Linked DNA regions of Tribolium castaneum. The protein of the gene in region 2 interacts with the protein of the main gene of each other region in a pairwise test. Links are inferred from orthologs where the notes say so. Each region holds a gene or a part of one and is shown on either strand. Other genes may lie near its edges. The genes, in order: trio, fra and Trim9.

Region 1 (4,177 bases), on a different chromosome or scaffold from region 2:
TCCAAAGTGCGGATCTGCCGGAAAACAACCACAACGGTCGCAATCGCGAGATGTGAATGTTTTTATTTTACAACAACAGCCAATAAATTTACCTAATCTTGTTATTTGTTATTTTGTGAAACATTCTCGAGCAGCTCTGCAGCATAGTAATGTTACGTGCAGCTGAATTGTCACACGTGGTTACTCCTTGCAGTTTCTTTGTTTATCCTTTCTAAATGCAAAGGAAGTTTTTGTGCAACTCTTGAACAAATTTGTTAATGATTGTTATTGGAAACATGTTACATATGAATATAAAAATTTACATGTTTATGGAATGCATTATTGTAGGAAAAAGAGTGTGAGGCTTCCTTTTGGTATGTACTTTGTTGTGCAAGCAAACCATTAACATAAACCCGTTTAATTCATTATTCTATGATGAAAACTTTTCGTTTTCCATGACTTGGTTAGGATTTGTCACTTCTGGGGCTTAAGTAATTAATAATTACTTCAGCTGGCAATTAAGGTAATGAGAGCGTTTAATCTTTTGTCAAAAACTAGGTCGATTTTAAGTGAGCTTGCAAGAATGCAATTTCCGGTTCCTATTTTTGGCCGAAGAATTTTTTGCAGTTATTGATTTTAAGTGTCTTTAATCGCCTAATAATAAAGTCGCAATTTTCATTTGCGTGCTGAACTCCGCATTATCATATCTGAGGGCGTAAATAACCGTTATGAAAACTCATCATTTTGGTAATCTGCTTAACTTGGAGGCTGAACAAGGAATAGTACCCATAAGCGAATGGGAGTATCGATTCCGCATTTCTGCTGTATTCTTTGATATGGCATTCCTGGGTAACGTCAGACAAGGAGAGCCTTCGCCCCTGTGTTCGTATTCTTCAAAACTCCGAACACGTGCCTCGCCAAGTTGCGAGTTTCTACAAATTTGACGCTTGGAAACTAACCCAAGTTTCAACAACTTTATTGCATTTTGATCAGTGGCTGTTAGGTGGATAATTTGTTTTTACCCAAACCGAGATTCAAAGGGAATATTAAATCTAATTGAAATAAGATTGCCTTTTAATTTGAACGCCATGGGCGATTTATCGAATTACTGTGATCAGAAATGTTTTCATCATATTCTAATTGTTGAACAATTATTGGAAGGAGGCGCTTATTAATACCACTTATCAATTTTTGCTTGTTGTTGCAGTAAAATTACGAACTGATTTGTTATTTTATTCGGGTAAATGCTACCGAGAACTGAAAATATGAATAACAGAGTGTATTTCCAAAAACTCTCAAAATAAGTTCGCAAAAATAAATACACGTTGGCTGATTTAAATAAAATCAAGTTAGAAGTGCAGTGGATCATCACATTTTTGATGGTATCCATGGCTAGTTCAAGCAGAACAGCGTCCGCCTTCAGGACGAAGGCTGAAACTTCAGTAGGTTCCAGACGTCGCCCTCACAGTTGGCACAGTTCCATTGGGTCACCCAATACAGTCCACCGAACAAGACGGCTTGTTGGTAATTTACTGGTTTCTTTTTGTAAATCTGTTCAAATTAATCGTTTACTTAACTGTCGTGTTAACTGCTTTTCCAACAAAAACACAGCACAATGAAAATTCGAAGACGTGGAAATAAAACACAAATGTGAATGTTTGCTCAAGGAATGCATTTACGAAAGAAACAAACTGTTGAAACGGGGGAACAGAATGTTTAGTAAATATTTCTGCACTTCTATTTTATGATAAATAAACGTACACTACACAATGTTGGGCGGCCTGGAAAAGGGCCCACTTTTATGGATCAAAAATATTATACCCACTTTGTCAATAGAAGTGTGATCAGGATTAGATAATGTATAGAGAATTTTACCAAATTCTGTTGAAAACATTGAACAATCGGACTGCAAACAATGGCAACTTTCCGTGATAGATTTTTCGCACAGTTCGGGGAACGTGTCAAACTTTGTTACTTTTACATTTTATTTAGGTTTTACCAGAATATGAATGAATTCACGTGTCATTTATGAGCGAGAAAAACCACTTCAATAAAAAATTGTTCACTCGTGACAGATTTATTCTTCAGAACACTGTCCCTAATTTAAGACATTGCACCTTTTTGCGCAACCTGTGCATATTATTTTTAGCATAAACGTCAGCCGGAATGATTTATGATTAATCTACAACACACGAAGAGAAATTGGGAAGCGCTGACAGTCTATTTTTGGGGCGTAGATGATGTTTTGAAATCTTGTTATCGGAGGCGCAACATTTAATTGAGCTTAAACAAATTAGTTTAATTTGCAGTCTCATTACTCCGAAAATCGTGAGTTTTACCACAAGTAATCTGACGTTGAACATCTAATCCGCTTTGCCTGTTTCGAGTTCACGATATGACAGAAATCGGGAAGCAATAATGTACGGAAAAAGTTTTTTAATTTGGTGGAAAACAATTTGGGATGGGAGTGGAAATTAATTCAATTTTTCCGTAGTGAATCTCGACTTTCATTTTTATTACGTAAAATTTGAATGTGAAATGATGTGATGTGACTCGTTTATTTTATGTTTCGCTTTATGCAGACTGGATGCGACAATTTTCCCAGAGATAAATTTTATTTAGTTCATTATGTAGCATCAAAGACCTTCGCTTAATGCGAAATAATTTTATTTACCAACCGAGTATTTACTGTACAATTTCTAAAATCACTTAACAATTGATCGGAAATCCCTTAATGAAATATCTTTCATCCCTTGATTAAAAATTCCCGACTTTAATTAGTTTCGCGATCGTGAATCTTAAAGTTCCAAGGACGTTTAAAGTGTTCAACATCTGTGGCAAAACAAAACCTTCCTTATTTTCTATTCAACCCACATGTTACGTTCATTTGTGTCGAGTGTTCGATCTTGGAGAAGATAATTTTTGCTGGATTTACATTTGCATTTCCTCTTTTCTCTCTAAAGACTGCGACCTTTATGAAGAAAGGAAAATTAAAGACGTAAGTCTCGGAATCTTTATGACACGGAGAATAAAACATTAAGCTCCTCTGAAACCCACTGAATATTATAATCCTGTCCCAAAACGTGCGACATTTGAATGAAATGAAATTTTTTGTTTATTCAACCCATACATAATTTACCATTATTCGGGAATTAAATAACACGTTTCACTTTTGGTTAGTATTGATCATTTTCCGGTTCAAATTGCGCCTCACTTTTATTTTTACCCAGGACGTTCGGCGGTAAATGAACTGGAAAAGGTTCGTTATTACTGTAAAGGCCTACATAAAAATCGGACTGATCGCAAAATAAATACTCCATAAGCAATTTAATCACATTTGACATCGATCGCTTTAAGCGGTGTGAAACGAGGTGTGAGGGTTATTAAACCTGCTAAGTAGTTGAGAGTGCTTCATCAATCGATTAAGTCTTTTAGTGACGTGAATTGGCGCTAATTTCGTTTTTCTTTCCAGCTCAAAACATGGACGGACAACGTGCTTTGGAACTGATGCCTCTATTGCAGGAACGGCTTGTGATTTTGACCGGTGGCCGTGACAGGCGTGGAGGTCCTGTGCTATCATTTCCTGCCAGTCCTCGCAGAGAACGTGCTAAACCGGAGGATTACAAACGCCTTTTGCAATATCTTATGTCCATTCCCAAGCAAGTATTTTTTCTCCAACTTCACGTAAATTATGCAAGCGCGAGTTATAGCTTAACCACTCAATGGTCATTTTTTGATCAGTGGAAGTTTAAATTTTCCGCATTTTCCGCCATTGTTCAATTGGATCTAGTGTAACAAATCCTGTTACACTTTCTAAGCTATCTGCGAATAAATAACGGACATTATAATACGGTCTGTTTCCACTCAGCGTTCTATAAAATGGTGATTAAATTATGCACTAAAATGATGTTTTCTCACGCAAAAAAGCAACGAGGAGAAAAGTTTATTTATTGTAACGTTAATATCGAGTCGGGGAGTGTGTTATTAAATTTACCAAGAATATTGCGCATATGGTGCCCATATTTTAAATAACTAACAACACAATTAGAAGAAATTACGTCGAAAGCGTACAATCTAGATAAACGTTTTAAGATTGCGAATCCGAGTGGAAATCGATAACTTGGGCACACATTTTGCCCATTTATTTTAGCCCAAGCCGCTAAATAAAAATTTATTTACCAGAACTTTGGCAAAATGA
Region 2 (3,655 bases):
CCTCCAGAAAGCCCGAGATACCTTCAATATTTATGAGTTATCGCGTCATGAAAAATGAGGGAGCGCATTCATTAATTTTTCCTTTTGGAAGCAAATTGCTGTTTATCCCGATGCAAATGATAAGCTCAGGCCCGAAAAATAAATCATCTGATCAATGGCGGGATTGTTTGTTTTGGAACTTCGTGAAAAGTTTGAAAAGCCGCAAAGCTAATCAAAGGATTAATTCCAAATTAGGCGTTGCCGAAATGTAAATGAAATTAATTCGGTGAAGGCGACAAAGTTTGTGAATTTTTCGCCGTAATTTGAATAAATGAATTCTACTCACTGGCTACATTCAGCGTGGCCGCTTTGCTCACAATGGAGCCGACGTTCGGCAGCGAAGCCATGCATTGGTAAGTCCCCGTCAATCTTTGTTCTTCCAACACGCTATTTATATACAGTGAGCCGTTTGTAAGCTGAGACCTAGAAGTAATTCGAGTCGTAGACGGTTTAATTAAATTCATCTTTGGTGAATCGATACCTGTACAGATCGCCCAAATACGTCAGTTTTTGGCGGTCCTGGTCCAGCCACTGGATCAGGACGCTGGCTGGATGGGACGACTTAATGACGCAGTCCAGAACGGCCGATTGCCCCGATTCCACGACTGTGTCCGTCGGCTCCACCGTAAACTCCAGCACATGACCTGAAACGAACAAAACACCGGCTTTATTCGCCCGAATCGTAAAACTCTCAAGTAAACAAATACTTAAAACGGGCGTAAAATACGAAAAATTAAGTCAGGGAGTGGCTATTACCGCTCGAAATGGTCGGTAACGACAGCTGAGTCCGGTCAACCCTCGGAATACACAAAATTGGAAAATTGGCCCACATATGGTGGGACAACAGTTGCTCTTATCGGTAAATCGTTATTTATTGCTGACCCCTTATCTCAGCATGTGTACATTTGTTAAATTTCCAATCAATGAAAAGTCAGACGTGATGTGTCATAGGGGGCAGGGGTCCGAGCTAGACTGGCTCAGAATTTTAAATGTGGACGGAATAATGAATAAACTGATTGCTCTGTGGCATAATTACGGCTCTGCGTGATCAGATTTTATTTAATTTACGCCACCAAACGAAAATAAGCACGATTTTTCAAAAAACATCAAAGAGAAAACAATTTCCTAAATTGTAAAACTGTACAATAAAATAAAATCTTCCCATCGTACAATTAGTTTCAATTCAATTAATCTATCCAATAATATTATCGTTTGATTCAAAAAATTGGAAATAATTGGATAGAAATTCTTTCATTAAAACATAGTATAACTTCCGGTGAGTATAACCTGATCAAAGTGTATTTAAAAGTCCGATATAAAAATTAATATTGTCTGTATTGCCAAGAAAGTTGATGACTAATTTTACGTGTGGGCAAGTCTACCGGACTCAAAATATTATTTTAAATTTTTTAAATCGTATCATAAAACTAATTTGATTCAGTTTTATCTTAACAATTTTTATTGTTTGTGTGAGGGTTTCTAACGTAATTACCTAAGTAACACAGTAAAACCTCTCAACAACGGACACCGATGGAGAATTTTTAATTGTCCACTAATAAGAGGTAGGCAATTTTAATATTTAAAAACAGGTATCTTTCGTATTAATTAATTATTATTGAACTGCCCACAAAACATATTCAAATTAAAACAGCAGCAAAAATATATTTTATAAAAAATATTTTACTCGCACGCAGAATTCTTGGATAAATTTTAATATGATAATAATATTATTATAAACATTTCATTGTTAAACTTATTATAACAATTTTTTTTTAATAAAAAAAATAAATAAACTGATCCCTTACAAAATCTTCAGTTTTTGTTTGGTTGTTTTTAGGAGACAATAATTTTTTACAAGACGCATAAACTCAGATATTTTTTGAACAGACGCAAAATATTCAGACAGCATGATTTTACTGTGGTGCTAAGGCAAGTTTCCGCTTTATCACTATCATCTTCATCAATCTTTTCATCATGTTTTTCTAAAAAAAACTGCGTACACTCCTCGACATTTAACTCTCCATTTTCGGTATAGAATTTTTCATCCATTATTACAAAGTCCATGAAATAAATGTACGTTCTTTGCGCCACCATTTTTTTTCATTCTCTCCGTTGTAAGAGGTAAATTTATATGTTAATGTAAATGGGGATTTTTTTCGTTCGCGTCCGCTATACAGAGGGTCCGTTGAGAGAGGTTTCACTGTATTAAAATAAGTTTTAAAGAAAAACTTTTGTTACTAATCCTAAAGAAAGCTAAAGGAAAAAAAATTCAGGACGTTCTTAATAAACTCCCCCATTTTTATGAATAGCTTCGAAAAACCCTTTTGAAATGGATGAAGGAAGAGTTGAAAATACTTTGAAGTGTTGTATGATAATTTGGTTCCATTTTTGTAACGAAACAGTTGCTTTTTCAACAAAATAACACCAGAAATTTTGTTCGTAAAGTCCGAAAACTGTTTCGCTCTATTAGCTTGGGGAAAAAATATGTCAGCTAAAGGCTTTTGTTGCCTTAGTTTAAACCCTTTTTGAGACTCTTTAAGGAACGAGAAAGTTTGCTGCTAAAAACAGATAAATTTTACGAAAAACAGCTAAATCTTAGCGAAACAGGTAAGAATAAATAGTACCTAAACAATAGAACTTCATACAAAACCATCTAATACATAATTTGTCTAACCCTGAAGACAAATGCGCTATAAACTTGCTGCATGCATATCAAAAAAGTTTTCGAAAAATGGATCTTGGTGCTTTCGTTATGCACCAGAATTTATCACTTAAAACGAGTAAAAGATTCAAAAACATAAACAAACATTTTTTCTTATTTTATTCAAGTAGTAAGTAGCTGGTAAACAATTTCAATTTGTTCATTAATGAGAAAAGTAACGGCTGCTGCGATTTTTCTTCATATTATTTTGCCCTCATTTACGTGAATTAAGTTCATGCAAGTTGGGCACCCTTCTCCTGAACTGGAGCTGTAGTAAGCTAATGAAGTGAACTTTTACGTCATAGGAAAATTAATCCGTCTGCTGAACGTCCGCCGTTTCCAGAATAACTCGCCGTGTTCTTGTAAAAATCCCCTCCCCCACCTTGGCTCGTTTTTTTCTTTTAATTCCGACTTTATGGCTCGAATTTCCCTCCAGGGTGGTATAATATAAAAGTTTCATTTTTGAAACATGACCCGGAACTTTCGACACGACACCAATTTCCGGTCAAGGGTGCCCAAAAATCGATCACGCTCCGGTTCATTTTTTCAGCATCATGTGTCTAATAGGTCCTTGTTTTAAACCGGATGGCATGCACAATAGAAATGCGATATATTGCTGTGCTAACATGACGCGGTGCGTTGAAATGCCCCTTTGTCGAGGAGTATAATGGATTCAAACATCTGTTGGGAGGACTAGAGGTCTACGCTTCTTATCAACGATCTGACATCTCGGTGTGCATTTTTAGTTTCATATTTTAATTTATTCCGGGACAAGATTTATTGACGCCATTTTCGAATCGTAATTACAATGCCTGCTGCTTCTAATTGAATGTTATTTTCGTACAGCGAGATTGCACAATAAATCATATGTGGTGTTACAAAAATTTATTCAATGGGCCCGCTGAATACAATGCC
Region 3 (4,126 bases), on a different chromosome or scaffold from region 2:
TGATAGACCGAAAAAATGTATTAAAAATGGATACTAATAAACGCTAGGTAAAATAATGGTAATGTATGTATTTTTAAATAAAATTTGCTGAGAAAGAATTTTTGATTGTATTTTATGTTTAGAAAGTTTTTTTACGTTCAGAAATTGTATTTTTCGTTGTAGTATTATTTTTGACAATGAGATACAATTATTTTAAAAACTAAAATCTAAAAACATCATGACTAACAAAATGCTCAAAATATAGTGTTTTATTCACAAAAATATTGTAAGATTTTTTGGATAAACAATTTTTGGGGCTTATTTTTTTAATTTATTTAAATAGTATTTTAACAAACCGACACATAACTAAAAATTTTTGTAATTTCGATTATAAGGAACTAAATAACACACAAAGAGAAAACAATGAAGCATTTTAGTTTGCGTGTGATTAGTATACCGATTCAGTAAAAATGTACTTTTAATAGACTTGTCCTACATAAATAACTATAATTTTTTAAGTTAAAATGTAAAAGTGAGTTTAATCCACGGTTTATAAAAGACAAAAACAAACAAATATGTTGTGGTCGCATGTGTAACGAAGCTACTGTTACTGTTTACCAACTTTCTAAACAAACGAATTTTTCCTGATAATTTCCGCCTAAAATTATAAGTACCCACAAAGACATATTTATTAATCTTTGGGTTACAATTTACAAATTTTTATTCAATAAATTTCAAATATGCGCATTCTATTGTGGTGTCATTTTTACAAAACAGTCACAAGTTTTTGAAGAAATCTAACCACTAGTTTACAGTCCTCATATTTTTTTGTTTCTTAATTGTTGGTCGCTGGTTTCAAAACTGCTTTTTTCTGACAGCTCTAGTTTTAGGGGTAGGTAATACGTACAGCTAACTCAAGTTAGCATTTATTTAAAAAAAAGGACAACTTTTAGTCAAGTGCTCTCACCTCTTGGTCCAGAAATAACAACAGTGGTACTTTTTTGGGGGTACATAAAAATCTGTGCTTTTTGTAGGATATTAGGGGTCGGTTTATAGAAGCGTCATTAAGTTAATCTACAATTAAATGCGTGATTAATTGAACAAATAAGAAAAACAGCGAAATTTTTGGGATTCTGCTTTATTTTTTAAGACGCTAGAAGTAACATTTATCATTTTACATGGTACTAAAGTGTAATTTAAAATGATGTATGTAAGTAACGCTTGAAAATTGCGCTGTCGGCCGCTGCATTCAGGTTGTCCTCTCGTGCTTGACCGCAAAATCCGTACGAAACAAACCAAAAAGCACAAAATCGAAGTAAAAAATATGTCGTCGACCTCAACCCTCCCATCCATCTCCATCTGCCGCCAACAATAACAGCAGCAGCACCAGGCCAAACCCTCGCCGGCTTTCGTCCGTTTCCGTGTCCCGTTCGCCGCGTGTTTCAAACCCGCCGGTGTGTGCCGTCAGTGGAGTTTGGTGAGTTGCGTGCGATGGAGGAGGAGTTGCGTTGTCCGTCGTGCAAACAGTTCTACACCAACCCCGTCCTGCTGCCGTGCTTCCACGCTCTGTGCCTCAGCTGCGCCGTGCACCTGCAGCAGCCCGCCCAGAGCCATGGCGCCGCCGGCGCCGAGAACGCCGAGAGCGTGGCCTCCGGCAGCTCCGGGGACTACCAGGAGAGCGACAAGCTGTCCATCCTGAGCGAGACGGACAGCGGCGTGGTGTGCACCTCGCGCCCCAACAGCTACGTGGGCACCCCCAGCGGCGGCCTGTTCCCCAGCGCCCTGAGCCTCGCCTGCCCCCTGTGCCACAAGCTGGTGTACTTCGACGAGAACGGCGCCCACAACCTGCCCAAGTACCGCGTCATGCAGGCGATCGTCGAGCGGTACAGCGAGGTCAGGAATCTGACGCTGAAATGTCAGATGTGCGAGACGGAGCCGGCGAGGGAAGCCACGGTGATGTGCGAACAATGCGAGGTGCTTTACTGCGAGACTTGCCGCGAGTCCTGCCATCCGGCGAGGGGGCCCTTGGCCAAGCATGTGCTCGCGGAACCGAAGCGCTGCTCGGGGACGATGCTCAGGAATAGGGATGATAAATGCACGGAGCATTCCGACGAAAATCTGAACATGTACTGCTTAGTGTGCAAGATTGGTGTCTGTGCTTTGTGTTTGATGGACTCGAGACATGCTTCCCATGATGTCCAAGCGCTTGCCGTCATGTGCAAGACTCAAAAGGTAGTTTTTACGTTTTGTTTGCCTTGGAGACGGTCAAAGGAACAAAAGATTACGCCGGGAAAAGAAAACCCATAGGAATCCAATTATCTCACTTGGGTTTTGTTCATTTTACAATGTTCTACTAAAATATACATTAGCGTGGAACAGCAAACATGATTAAATAGGGAATAAGGGTGTCTGGTTGCACCGCACTTGAAGAAAGAGTTGAAAAAAAAAGAACTTACAATCATTTTAAGCGTATCTTAAATAAATTACTCAAAATTTATTGATTGTCGTCATAACAAATGCTTGTACTCTTTCCAAAGTATATAGGGATGCCTTCCGTCCGGATTTGTCCAAGTTTTGTGTTGGGGTCCGAATGATTTCTTGAAATCTCTAACTTAAAATGTTTTTCAAATCACTTTTAGTTTTTTTTAATGCCAATACTTTTCTGAATCGGTAAAAATTACGTAGTTATATCATATCTATCAATAATAGGAAATAAAGTATAATTTGAAATGTTTTAAAGGAATATTTATTATTATTACAATTCTTATTAAAAACAGAGAAAATTAAGCGCTATCAGATGGTTTTTTGTTCGTTGCTCTAAGTCTTACAGTTTCCGAGAAAAACGCAAAAAAATGTTTCCATTTTCACTTTTTTTCAATTTTCAATCGCCGATTACGGCCACACTAAAAGAGCTAGGAGAAAACTCTTTTTTCCATCGTAAAGAGCACATCAAAATCTATAAGATAGGATAAGTTTTATTCGATTCTGAGACACTTTTAAAATTGACCATTTTAACTTGTTTTAAAAAGTTGTTAACTTTTTTTTTATTTTCTCAATTACGACTAAACTATTTGAAAAAGGAGACCTGTTTTGATCCATACCTATGCAAAATGATCCGGGGAATCGATTGGCATCAAGAAAATTGCCAAATTCCCAATAGTTTTTTAGTTATGAATTTTTTAAAATTTTACCAATTTTTGCATTTAGCAGCAATTTGCTCGAAAACTATTAGTCGGAGAACAATAATCTTTTTTAAAAAAAAATAGATAATTTAAAGAGCTTTCCAACGATAATAAACTTCATGGGGTTATCTTTGATAGTTCCGAAGCTATTGCTCAACAAATGTTCCGGGTACCCAAAATCGACAAAAATTGCGACGAAAATTGAAAAAATCAAACATCGAAAAATCGAACATATAGACTTTTTTTGGACTTTTAACAACTCTAGAGAGTTGTAAAGGCATATATAAATACGAAAAAATATGATAGAACGAATTAAAAAAAAAATAATTTTTTCACTTTCTTGAAGATAAGTGTTACTACTCAGGAAATTTTAGCAAAAAAAATAAAATTTTTAAATCTCATGAAAAGTTCGTATAATACAGAAAATGAACCGCTGAATTCAATGGAACAAACCGCATTGCTCTATGACTTTTAGTTTTTGAGTTATGAATTTTTTTGTTGGATAAAATTTTCCACTATGACAAATGGCTACCCTAAATTTAGGCAAAAAATTTAAAATTTTTAATTTTTGTGAAAAATTGATATAATATGTAAAATGAGCCGTAGAATTCAATCGAACAAACCGCAATGCTCTACGACTTTTAGTTTTTTTTTTATGAATTTTTTTAGTGAAAAACTTTGATCGCCTCTGTAGCCGGAACCGTTGCCCGGAGCGGCTCCGGGTTTAATCGAATAAATAGAGAAAATTAAGCGCTATCAGATGGTTTTTTGTTCGTTGCTCTAAGTCTTACAGTTTCCGAGAAAAACGCAAAAAAAGGTTTCTATTTTCACTTTTTTTCAATTTTCAACCGCCAATTACGGCGAAACTATTAGAGTTATTGAGAAACGGAAAAATCGAGGACAACCGGAATAAAAAACTCTACAAAATGGCATAGGACTCAAGGCGATATCTCGCAAAAAATTTT

What was found.
Region 1: the proteins of fra (region 2) and trio interact in a two-hybrid assay, tested with the Caenorhabditis elegans proteins (2 studies listed by BioGRID). The link is inferred for Tribolium castaneum from reciprocal best matches to the Caenorhabditis elegans genes unc-40 and unc-73.
Region 3: the proteins of fra (region 2) and Trim9 interact in a two-hybrid assay, tested with the Caenorhabditis elegans proteins (2 studies listed by BioGRID). The link is inferred for Tribolium castaneum from reciprocal best matches to the Caenorhabditis elegans genes unc-40 and madd-2.

The regions. Positions count from the first base shown.
Region 1 is NC_087394.1:33,647,573-33,651,749, forward strand, and holds the start of trio (kalirin), read left to right. Parts: upstream 1-1,236; 5' UTR 1,237-1,358; coding exon 1,359-1,503; intron 1,504-3,451; coding exon 3,452-3,638; intron 3,639-4,177.
Region 2 is NC_087396.1:13,003,350-13,007,004, reverse strand, and holds part of fra (neogenin), read right to left. Parts: intron 684-3,655; coding exon 521-683; intron 463-520; coding exon 326-462; intron 22-325; coding exon 1-21.
Region 3 is NC_087402.1:3,125,179-3,129,304, reverse strand, and holds the start of Trim9 (E3 ubiquitin-protein ligase TRIM9), read left to right. Parts: upstream 1-1,213; 5' UTR 1,214-1,470; coding exon 1,471-2,211; intron 2,212-4,126.